Arabidopsis thaliana: one gene and its partners. The protein of the gene in region 2 purifies or fractionates together with the protein of the main gene of each other region. This does not show direct contact. Each region holds a gene or a part of one and is shown on either strand. Other genes may lie near its edges. The genes, in order: AT4G17830, AT1G63770 and AT1G07750.

The links.
Region 1: the proteins of AT1G63770 (region 2) and AT4G17830 fractionate together in Arabidopsis thaliana (co-fractionation; one large-scale study listed by BioGRID). This does not show direct contact.
Region 3: the proteins of AT1G63770 (region 2) and AT1G07750 fractionate together in Arabidopsis thaliana (co-fractionation; one large-scale study listed by BioGRID). This does not show direct contact.

The regions. Positions count from the first base shown.
Region 1 is NC_003075.7:9,914,160-9,917,912, reverse strand, and holds the start of AT4G17830 (Peptidase M20/M25/M40 family protein), read right to left. Parts: upstream 2,101-3,753; 5' UTR 1,998-2,100; coding exon 1,662-1,997; intron 1,457-1,661; coding exon 1,197-1,456; intron 1,121-1,196; coding exon 1,012-1,120; intron 936-1,011; coding exon 797-935; intron 715-796; coding exon 639-714; intron 559-638; coding exon 436-558; intron 346-435; coding exon 192-345; intron 86-191; coding exon 52-85; intron 1-51.
Region 2 is NC_003070.9:23,662,489-23,666,241, forward strand, and holds the start of AT1G63770 (Peptidase M1 family protein), read right to left. Parts: upstream 2,010-3,753; 5' UTR 1,756-2,009; coding exon 1,678-1,755; exon of another isoform or gene 1,376-1,677; coding exon 1,301-1,375; intron 1,218-1,300; coding exon 1,173-1,217; intron 1,067-1,172; coding exon 926-1,066; intron 839-925; coding exon 763-838; intron 618-762; coding exon 541-617; intron 392-540; coding exon 275-391; intron 197-274; coding exon 122-196; intron 39-121; coding exon 1-38. Other genes in the region: IMP4 (Ribosomal RNA processing Brix domain protein), read right to left, coding at 2,557-2,655, 2,777-2,864, 3,055-3,161, 3,313-3,402, 3,502-3,645. UniProt on the Arabidopsis thaliana protein: Aminopeptidase with broad substrate specificity for several peptides. Involved in proteolytic events essential for cell growth and viability. Plays an essential role during prophase I of meiosis.
Region 3 is NC_003070.9:2,403,997-2,407,749, forward strand, and holds the start of AT1G07750 (RmlC-like cupins superfamily protein), read right to left. Parts: upstream 2,054-3,753; 5' UTR 1,868-2,053; coding exon 1,672-1,867; intron 1,267-1,671; coding exon 546-1,266; intron 458-545; coding exon 304-457; 3' UTR 1-303.

The DNA of each region.
Region 1 (3,753 bases), on a different chromosome or scaffold from region 2:
AAGATGAGGAAATTCAGCAAAGGAGAGAATCCGAGTTGGGTTTTGTAATACCGTATCCTGAAGTTTGCACATCAAAACCTTCATCCTACAAACCAAGAGCATGATTCATTGGTTTAGAAAGAGTAAGTTGTAGAGAACTCTGAAAGATCAGTCTTGAGTCTAGTTAAAGTACGGTTTATCAAATGGTTTACCTGGAGGTCTCGGATTAGAGGTAAAGTACCGGTGATCGAGTAAGGCTTCACGTGTCCAACAACTTCTTCGGTTGCTTTGCATAGAACGTGAAAGCCGGGAGAATCAAGATTACACGCAACTCCAGCTGATGCTTCATCAAAACTTAACGTGAGCCTGCAAGTGACAATTAAGACTTTTTAAGATTTCGGTAGGGACAATAAAATGAGAGAAAGAATAGAATCAGGAGAAGAAGAAAGTCCAAACCTTCCCCGTAAATTCTCATCTGGTAAGACATATTTTGAAACAGGACCACGGGTTTCGAGCCTCTCTATGTTACCGTTTATGTCGTCAACATACTCTTGCAACTTCGTTATCACTTCCTTCACGCTGCAAAAACAACCAAAAAGCCATTAAAGTGTGTCTAAATGCATTGAAGAAACGAGTAAGACAAGTGTGAAGAGACTTACTCATAGAAAGGAGTCAACCTGACATCACCCGAAACAGTACATTCTCCGGGGATTTGGTTGATTCCACCTGCTGGATCTGCAAAACCAAACAATTTATTGTAAGTAGACAACATGTAAAGTCATTAGGCACACAACATGCTATAGATTCCAAAACTTACAACACCACTGTGTTGGCTTCATGGTGGATGGTGTTGCAAAACCATAAACTTCCTCTTGTGGGTGAGGCGGAAAGTCTCTGTAGAACCGAGCTTGGATTTCCTTAAGCCCTTCCATTGCTAACTCCATCGCGTTAATCGCCTTCGTACAAACAGAAGAAAAGATCAATGCCAAGTTTGCAACTTCATCTAGAGTAATCCATTCATATATAAAATACCTTGTGAGCTAAACCGCTATGGAAAAGCTTTCCAGTAAACTGAAGCTTCCATGGTATCATACCCCCAGTTCCAACACACGGCTGCTTATCCGCTGTATCAATCCAATACCTTCAAAAGAATACACATCAATAAGCTTCAATCATCCTTCAATTTTCATCTAAAAACTCCCCAAGAAATTTCTAACAGAATGGAAACTAACAAGGGTCCGGATTTGAGCTTATCAAGAAGTTTGTCTTTCACCAGCATGTCCACACCAACACCAGGAATGGAAGAGTTCTCTTCGCTAGCGATGAAAACCGCCACCACCGTTGATTTCAACGCCGGTTTGGCTTGCCCGAGTTTCTTCATGAGTTCAGTGACAAGAGCAACGTGACCAAGACAATCTGTTGTCCCACGACCACGAAGCTTATCACCATCTATGCTTAGCGAGAAAGGATCAAATTCCTATGAACAAAAACCGAAGTCAACCAGAGAATCCAAAATTCAATGTAACCGATTAAACCCTAGAGTACACAAAACAGAGAAAGCTTTGAAATTTGGAACAATTCAGATCAGTTCATCGGAAATTAAACAGAACCCAGTATCAGATTTTAAGCTAATTCTAATGGGCACCGATCAAAATCACATATTTAGAATCAATCAAAATTACCCAATCATCAGGATTCGCAGTGACGACGTCCATATGCATTCCGACGAAAGACAAGATCTTTCCGGGAACAGATCCTGGGTACTCAACGATGAGATTACCTCTACCTGAATGATACGCGACATGATTGATCACCAGAGGACCACCACCAGTTTCTGTGCTATAAGGACGGAGAGAGTCAAGGACGTGTTTGACGATTAGGTCCTCTTGAGGGATGAGCTCCGGCGGATTGTTCTGGACGAATTTAGATTCGCCTATGAGTTTTGATAAGAGAGAAACGTATGAGTCTTTGTCAAGAGAGCCTATGGATTCGATCAGTGCTTTGGAAGACGAAGCCATTTTTGTTACACCAAAGATGTTTTTTCTTTTGGGGTTTGCAAACAAAACTAATAAGGTTTTGGTCAGCTTGTCTACGAGCTTCGTGTGTTGTTTAAGGTTTTGGACCTTTTCGGGTGGAGTGTTACGCTAATTAATTAAAAAATTATACGGAACCAAATTAATTAATGTACATATCACTATCCTCAACAACGAAAAAGAATTAAAAATCTACAGAAGGCTTTGCTTAATGTTGTTCATGTCTTCTATGGATTCCAAAATGTATTCCTTGGCTTTAGGATCTATGGCAACTCACACAAGCAACATCAATTGGCCACGCATCAAGTAAGGATCTGTTGCAACATCGCTCTGGATATTACCCTATGAAGCATGGAGGATAATATATGACCAATTCTTAAATCCACATCAGTTCAAATAGTTGATAAGTAGGTGCATTCGAATACGATATGGTATGGTCACGTGTTTCGGGACAGCCACACGATTCTATATATATGTGGTTATATCATTAAGTATGTAAGTTATGGATTGAAAAGAAACAGTTGATATCCTATCACTTTCGAAAATATTGCAACCAGGCAATCAATTATCCAAGTCGGTTCATCTTCTTAGTCACATAACTAAACCGAGAGCACACAAACAACGAGATTGACATGGAGCTGATCAGACCTAGCGTGATATATAATGTAATTGTGTTAATGCCGATTTCTGATAGATCCAATCGAAAGCAATTGTGTTAATGCCGATTGAGTTGTTAATATAATTGTAATACAAGTGATCACAGCTTCAACCATATATAAGGGATTGTGGTTGATAAGTTCTCAAAAGGTCTTTGGAAAAAGATATCCACGCTTTACTCAAACAACCCAAATAGACTCTTCTCGGAAAATGACTATATATTAATATTAACTTCTTGGCACATGTGATGATGTGAAGATCCACGAGAGAAACAACTAAACGATTAACTAATGAAATTCGACTATGAAAAAATTAGATTTGTTATTTAATTGAATTATTAGTTTAGTCTAATCAAATAACAATGCTAAGAGGTAAACGACAGAATTCTAAAAATTATACTTCACAATCTAATTATATTTTCACATGATATAGTAATAGTTTTTACTTTTAAAACTCCAACTTTAAATGGCGCCGAATACGTCATCCTTTGTCGCAAATTGCAACCAAAGTTTTTGCCATTTATGAAAACAAAGGTGAAAGAGACAATGGATGATTGATATGGGGATTCGAACCATGCTGAGCAGAAGAAGACAGTATAATTAAAGTATCCTATCTCACTGATTCAATGGACTGTTCCTCTCACAGATACAAAATCCCTAAATCCCTTTTTAATTTCATTTGGTCTTAGCATCAAACATCTGTAATTTATTTGCATGCCAACAAATTCATATCTCAGTTGTGCTTTTACGTACACGAATCTTGGTCGGTATATATATATATATATATATATCTGCTGTCTTCTTCGGTTTGTCTTGCTTCATCTTCAAAGTATTACATTTTCTTTCTTTAGAAGAACCTTAATAAGAGTCGATAACCCTAATAATTAAGCGTCCAAATCGTCACTGGGATCTCTAAGTGAAGATTGTTCTTTTTCTAAGTTAATTCAACCGCTAGAAAAGAAAATCATTTGGGTAAATATTAGAATTAAGTTTGAATATGACCATGCGTTGTAGATATTTTTATTTTTATTTTTATTTTACAATACATATACTATCAATGATTGGTGTAAATTTTAAAAAAGATA
Region 2 (3,753 bases):
ACACGACACGTGTACTTAGCCATTATATCAGGACGATCCTGTCATTTCATAATAAGAACACAATGTAAGAACATCAATTGTACTACCCCAACACCAGTCATCTTATCAACAAGTAATCAACCTGGTAAAATGTAATTTTGCGGAAACCTTCTGCTTCACACTGTGTGCAGAAATTCCCAGAAGACTTGTAAAGCCCCTAACAGAAGAAATTAAAAAGGTTAGAAGAAATCATTTACATCATTGAAAGTTTAAAAAGAAAGGAAAATAAGTTCACCTCAAGTGAAGTATTCTTGTGGGGGTATATCTCAGTATCAATCTCCAAAACAAAGGACTCCTCAGCTGGAAGCGAAGGAAGAGTTAGATGGCGAGAGTCCAACTGGTAATCCCCTTCCTAGCCAAAGTGAAAAGAGAGACCAAGTATCAGAGAGGAAACTGAGTTACTTATTCTTAGTCAACTGAGTTGCTTGTCTTAGAGAAAAGTCTATAAAGTGAGCCTAGAGATACAAATATTTTCCGAAAGGAAAAGTATTGAATGGATACCTTAAGAAGCTTCCCCTCAACCTTGACAGAAAGTAGCTTCAAGTCATGTCCATCCAAGACCAATGCAGCAGAAGATCCTGGCCAACATGATACTTGTTCAGATGTGATGTGAGAAAAAAAGAAGCAAAAATCCATCTTAAAGCTATGCAAACAGCTCATGCAAAAGAAAAATAAACTTGTATGTTCAGCTTAAAGAAACAGCAAAGTACTAGACTGTTGTACCTTTAACTCGAGGAGAAACCTTGATTTTAGAGCTAACAATTGTTTTCTCTTCACCTAGAGAGAAGCTCAGATCCACCTAAACAAACAAACAAAAAAGCTTCAAATAACAACAAAATGATTCTAGTCATATACTCAATTTGGAATTAAAAGAAAGCTAGCATACAGTTTCAAAGTAGTAATCAGGCTTTGTGTAGTTCTTGAGAAATATTTCTTTAGGTGCATCCATTTTGGAATCTTCAGCTTTATCCGGAACTGATTCTGTGGCAACAGAACAAATGAGCCTCCTGCTGTTTTGCTTATGTGTCTGACATATAAAACAGAATATGCATTTATTTTAACTACACAAATACAGCATTAAACTAATAACTTTTGGATTTTATCTATCATAAGGGAAGGATAGAGCAAGTTACATCAACAGAATGGGGTAGAAACCGATTCTTCCTCAAACAAATGGCCTGAAACAAAGAATTACAGCAAAGATCATTCTCTATTTACATAGCGTGGCACTTGATGATAGAAGAAACAAAGAAACACAAACCTCGGAAGTAAGAAACGGTCTGTGTTGAGTAAGTCTGTTTGCCGAACTACGAAGACAACTGCTTCTAACAGGAACCTGTAAAAGAGAAATTAACATAATTATAAACATATAAAGATGGAACAAAACAAAACAGAAGTCATAGGAACACAAGAATCAAGAACAATTTCTTATTCTTACACAAGTTCTTTCCAAGGTTTGTGTACACAACCGAATTCAAAAGTAAAACATGTAAAAACTAAACTCTCAACAAAAACATACAATTCGAACAGAACTCCATCATTTTAATTATATCATTTCTATTGTCAGAATCAATCAAAAATACAACATTCTATATCTATAACCAAAAGAAACAAAAAAAAGAGTTAAAGGGTAATCACAGGAGCACGAGAGAGCAAACCCAGAAGATTGACTCTCGCCAGAGACGAACTTCGACAAGGAATTATCAACCGAGCCATTTAAAAGAACACCCAAATTCTAAAAATCCCTAAAGCAACAATAACTCTTAACAATAAAATTAAATTAAAAACACTTCCTCCTTGTTGCGGCTAAAATCTCCAATCTATAAACCCTAGATGATAACTCTCTCTACTCACTATAAACAGAGAAGAATCAAAAGAGAAAACACAGAGCAGTAAGTTATGGACTTTTATAAAACTAATGGATAGAATTTAAAATGAAAAATATGGCCGAGAAAATTCGATATAATATTAACAAAAAACAAAAATAAAACTGGGAAGCAAGCAAATGATTAAACGAAATTAAAATTCGATTTCGCGACTTTCACAGAGATCAAATCGATCTGAGGAAGACGAAGAAGTAAATTACCGATAGATCCGATGATCAGATGAAAGAGACACAACTGAAACTATGAGACGAAACCTGGGACTGATATATATATAACAACACGATGAAAGATATTTATAATTAAAAAATAAAAATTATAGTTTAGAATTTTGACAATTTTGTGTTTATCCATTTTCCAATACCTTTTAGCACTTCGATGCTGCTCAGATAATTTTTGTTTGAATTCGTGGATAAAAATACTACTACAAAATTTTTTATTATGACTCACGCAACAGTATATGGTTGAAGATAAATACTAATTGAAGACAAGAAAGTTTTGTTTTTATAAGCTAAACGTTAAAACAAAATCATCGCAATTTTCTCTAAGGACACAAAAACTGAACAGCTCTTCCAACAGAATGATAAGTAAAACAGAATTTAGATAAAGGGTTCAAAGCTGTTCCGTTTAGTCATCATTCACCGATGAACTTGCGCTTTTTAGAGGTGTTCATGTACGGTCTTATAACCCATTCGATCTCTGCTTCATTTTGTTCCACAGTTCCTAATTTCACCTGCAAAAATAATTGCATTACACAGAAACAACATTGTTACTAAGGAACTAGAATGATTCTTTATCAAACCATTATTTTACTCGAGGAAAACAGTTTTGATTCGGTTAAGCAGAATGCGTACCTGGTAGAGCCGCAACTCAAATCGAGGACCGATTTCTTTAAGCTCGATTGATTTTGGACCTCCCTCTCCTTTATCATAGACATGATTCCTATATATATATACCCACAAGAATTTATAAAAATCTCCATCTGTTGTATTTACAGTGTTCTTACATGCTGTTTCTATGTGGATCAGATTACCAAATGCTAACATAAGCCTTAAGACCTTAGGCTTTGCATACTACAATTGATGTCACCAATTAAAATTCGTAAAATCTGATCATTGTGAGAAAATTTTACCTGAATGATATATAATCGGATTGATTAGAAAAAGTAACTATACGTTTTGCATCCAGTTTTGGAGCAGGGAAGATATGTTTTAAGATGTTTCCAACTCTTTGACCCATCTGCAAAACAAAGGGAAATCAAATTTGAAAATATGTTTACATTAGAAATGAATAAACCAGAGCGATCATTCTATGAGACACGACGAAGCTTGATGGTTTCCAATACCAAATTACAGTAAGAACGAAGTGAATTTTGGCTCTAGAGATATACCTGAGTAGTAAAGTTGTTAAAAATGAGATGAGGATATTGCTCAGGCATTTTTCCAATGGATTTCTTGTCTGAAATATCATGTCTTGTTACCTAAACAGAAGGGACTTTGGATTAAGTAAAAAGGCTAAACTAGGAGTTGAAAGAAGAAAGATTTGGATATAAAAATCAGATCCTCAAAGAGTTACTTACCACATTAAGTAATCCAAAGTATGCAGTTGGTCCAAATGGGAGATGAGAGATAATGAGACCATCAGGCACACCACGGTGCTCATGAACCAATATAACATCAGTAAAATCATGGGAACGAGCAGTTTCAATGATCTCAGAAATGACCTGCAAATTAACAGAGTGGGAAAGAAACTTAGATTACGATTCGAATGCAACATAGTTTCCGTGTTACACTTACATAGAGAGGTTTTGTGTTGAATATAAGTGTCAGTA
Region 3 (3,753 bases), about 21 Mb from region 2:
TCAAAATTCTGAAGTTTAATATGAAAGTGAGAATTTGAAGGAAGACAAATTTCTTTTGATTCAATTTTTCCAAAAGTTGAAAAGAAGGAAGACTGTAAAATATAGGAAAGGTTGATTTTTTAATATTTTAAAACAACGAGAACAAGAACCGGTCCAGGGGGAAAAGGCAGGAAGAGAATTAAACAACTAGACTAAGAAACTTCCTTGAATCACAAGAAAAGTAAAAACCCTCAAAAATCTCTGAGGGAAAGCAACAAACGATAAAAGATAAAAGCTGGTTCTTGTTCTCATTCTTCTCCTTCTTCAGTTGGAAGGAGGGAAGAAAATGGCTGATGAAGTCCTCGTGGATCGGAAGGACTTCTCCACCTCCGGAGCCACCTTAAACGCTGCCTGCAAAACCTCAGGGGACAAAGACTTCCACACCGATGTATTCCCGGCCAAATGTGTGAAGATCGGACTACAAACACACAAGAAAAAAGTTTCAAACATATTAGTTTCTTTCAATTTCAAACCTCAAAAAGGAAAGTGCAGAGAAAAGTTCTTACTCAGGAGTGGTGACAATGGAGAACCAAGACATGCCATCAGCATCAGCAATCTTAGAAACCACAAAGAACCTTGGAACAATGAAGAGAGAACCAGCTTTGATATGGGTCTCAAGAACTCTTTTCCCATCACCACCAACCACCTGGACTCTTCCACTTCCACCCACAATGTAAGTCACCTGAAGAGCAGAGTCACAAGAGAAACCAGGCGAACACATGGAGTGTGCATCGATCCGAACAAGATCAGCTCCAAAGCCAACCTCTCCAACCAAAGGAAGGTTCTTGGTGTTCAAGACAACGACCCTGCCTCCATCCTTGATGTCTACATCAAGAGGAGCCTCCAAACAGTTCAAGACAAACCCAGCACGGTTCTCCTCCTTGGGCTGTGGCATCTTAAAGCCCGCATCAAGCTTCACAATGCCATTACCGGTTTGAGAACCAACAAGTTTCTTCACGGTGTTCTCATCAAGGTCCCAGGCTCTGCCAACAAACTCAGTGGAGAAACCAGTGAAGATACCGTTTGTGCCAGTAAGATAGAACTCAGTGAACTGCCCTGCTTTGTGACCCTTGTGGGTTTCACCAAGGAAGAGGATAACAAGCTCAGGATCCTCGTTGTTGAACCACCATGTGACCACACCAAAGGGAAGAGCAATCGAATCACCTTGCTTGATTGCGATCACCTTCTCCTCCTTCTCTGGGAGAACAATTCCAGCAGTTCCAGATCCTGAAACAGAAATTTGAAAAAGAGTCAAATAAACAAGCTTTCAATTCCTTACACGCGAGGTTGATCAGATCAACGATTAAGACGTGATTAAGCAAAACAAAAACAGCTAAAGACTACTTTTTTTTCTTGCACACAGTAGTCGTGATCTATTTGACTATCATATTTTTCACTTTCTACAACAAAAATCAGATCATAGAATCAGCATCACAATAAACCTAATCACAGTGGTCAAAGTGCATGAATTACCATAAAGTTGACAACTTTTAAAGCAATAAAGAAGATCAGAACATAGAAAAGATCAAAAACCCTCAAAAGAAGAAGCAGAGTGATGAAATCGAACAAACCCATTATACAAAAACGCATGGATCGCAATAAAGTAGAAAACTTTTATAGAAAAAAACGAACCTTGAAGAACATAAGCGACCTTAGAGGAATCAGAGTAACGAGGGACAGCGAAGCCATTCTTCTCAAGAGCAAGCTTAGCGGCTCCAATGTTACCCTGTTTGAGCATCGGCAACTCCTCTGGGCACCAGGCAGAGTAAGATCCACCATCTCCTCCGTAAACCTTCTTGGGCAACTTAGGTGTAAGATCCAACTCCATTTTTTCTCGACGATGAAAAAGAGTAAAGAAGAAAAGATTTGGTAAAGGAAGAAGAAGAAGAAGTAGTAAGTTTTGATGTGAAATGTGAAAGAGATGCGACACGTATTTATATAGGAGAGGCTTAGGGTGAATCCGTTACTAATAGAGAGACTGATTCGGCGTTTTGATTGCGTTACGATTTACTTGTGGATAATTCTTGTTTAACGTTTTTAATCCAAATTTTATCCATTTCTTTATGCCCACGATATAATTTATATTTTGCCTACCAAATAAAGATTCCTTTGTGAGGAGATAATTTTTGTTAATCCATCACGTTCTTCGTTTTTTTTTCATAAACAAATACTAATTGAGACATTTAAATAAATCTACTAAAAGTGCTGTATTATTTGGTCAAATCGAATCATCAGAATATTTGTTGTAAATATTTTCTCAATTATGTCACCATATTTCTTTCCAATTTGGTGATTTTAAGATTATGTTTTCCTTTTTTTGTTACCTTAAAGATAAAATTAAAGGATGAATTCAAAAATCGTATGTTTTTTTTATCTAAGGTAATCGCTGATTTTATATTTCTTTTGCTAATTTTTTAAGGATGGGATCTGCTGACAGGATTGTATATTCTCTAATTTTGTAAAGGATTTATCCAGAAATATAAGTAGCAACAGACTGTTATAATTTTAATTTAATCCAACGAGCAACGTGATGGATAAGTTGAAAGAATTGCTGTTATTAAGGATTAGTTTAACATGGATAAATATGTAATTAATTTTGGCCTAATTATTATTATATCTAACTTGCATATTCATAACGCTTAGATGACAAAAACAAAAAAATATATATCATAACGCTTAGTTATATCCCCCCGAGAGAAAATACTTAGGCCCATCAGTGTCATTTATCTTAAGGGGCTTTAGCAGAAAGCTAATCACATGCCCATGTAAAATAAAAATGAAAAAATAACCAAAACAAGTGTGGCTGCTGGGATTCGAGCCCAGGTCTCCACGGCCACAACGTGGAATTCTTACCACTAAACTACAGCCACTTGAATGACTGTGATGATCAGATAGTAATATTTATCACAACAATATGCTATTAGTACCATATTTTTTTTTTCAAAATTGCTGCTAAGTTCCATTGCATTAGACAGCTGACCTAAATCTTGTATTTAATAGCACTTGTATAATTGATGGTTGGTGGAATGTTAATTTCGTTTCATGTAAAATTGTAAACACAAACACAAAATGTGCTTTAAAACAAGAAAATATGCAAATCATATCAACTCTAACATCAGTAACGTGTCGCTTTCCACTAGCTGGAGACAATGACTTGGGTAGTTACTTAGATCATAGGCACGTTTTATAAACGCAGAAGAATACCAACGTAACCTAATTCCCAAGTGATTCACAAAACTGAACCAAATTTGGTAACCTCGTAAAATTGACAGAACCAACAAGAGTTGGAAGCAGTCCAATGAGAAACAACTAGGCGAAGAAAAGAGGACCTCACTTTTTTTCTACTTTTGATTTGTGGCGAAGCAACCCATGTTACTCGCCTCAATAATTTAAATAGATTTTAATATACTAACAAAAGAGAAAAAAGAAGAAGAAAATCAAAAGTAGTAATAATGGGACTCAGGTCAGCTTAGTTAATGGTTCAAAGCATATGCTTTCGAAGATACTCTCACAAATGACCACTTTTTTGGTCTATAAACCCAAAATGAAACGTCTCTCTCACTTGGCTTCTCCTTTGATAAGGTCGAAAAGACCATCAACAATGGATGCTCCTCATCAAACCTTCCTCTCTCCTCTCTTATCTCTTACATATCTAAATACATGAAGGTACTTTCGAGCTCCCATCGCCGGAGATGAGATGAGACGGGGGCCATA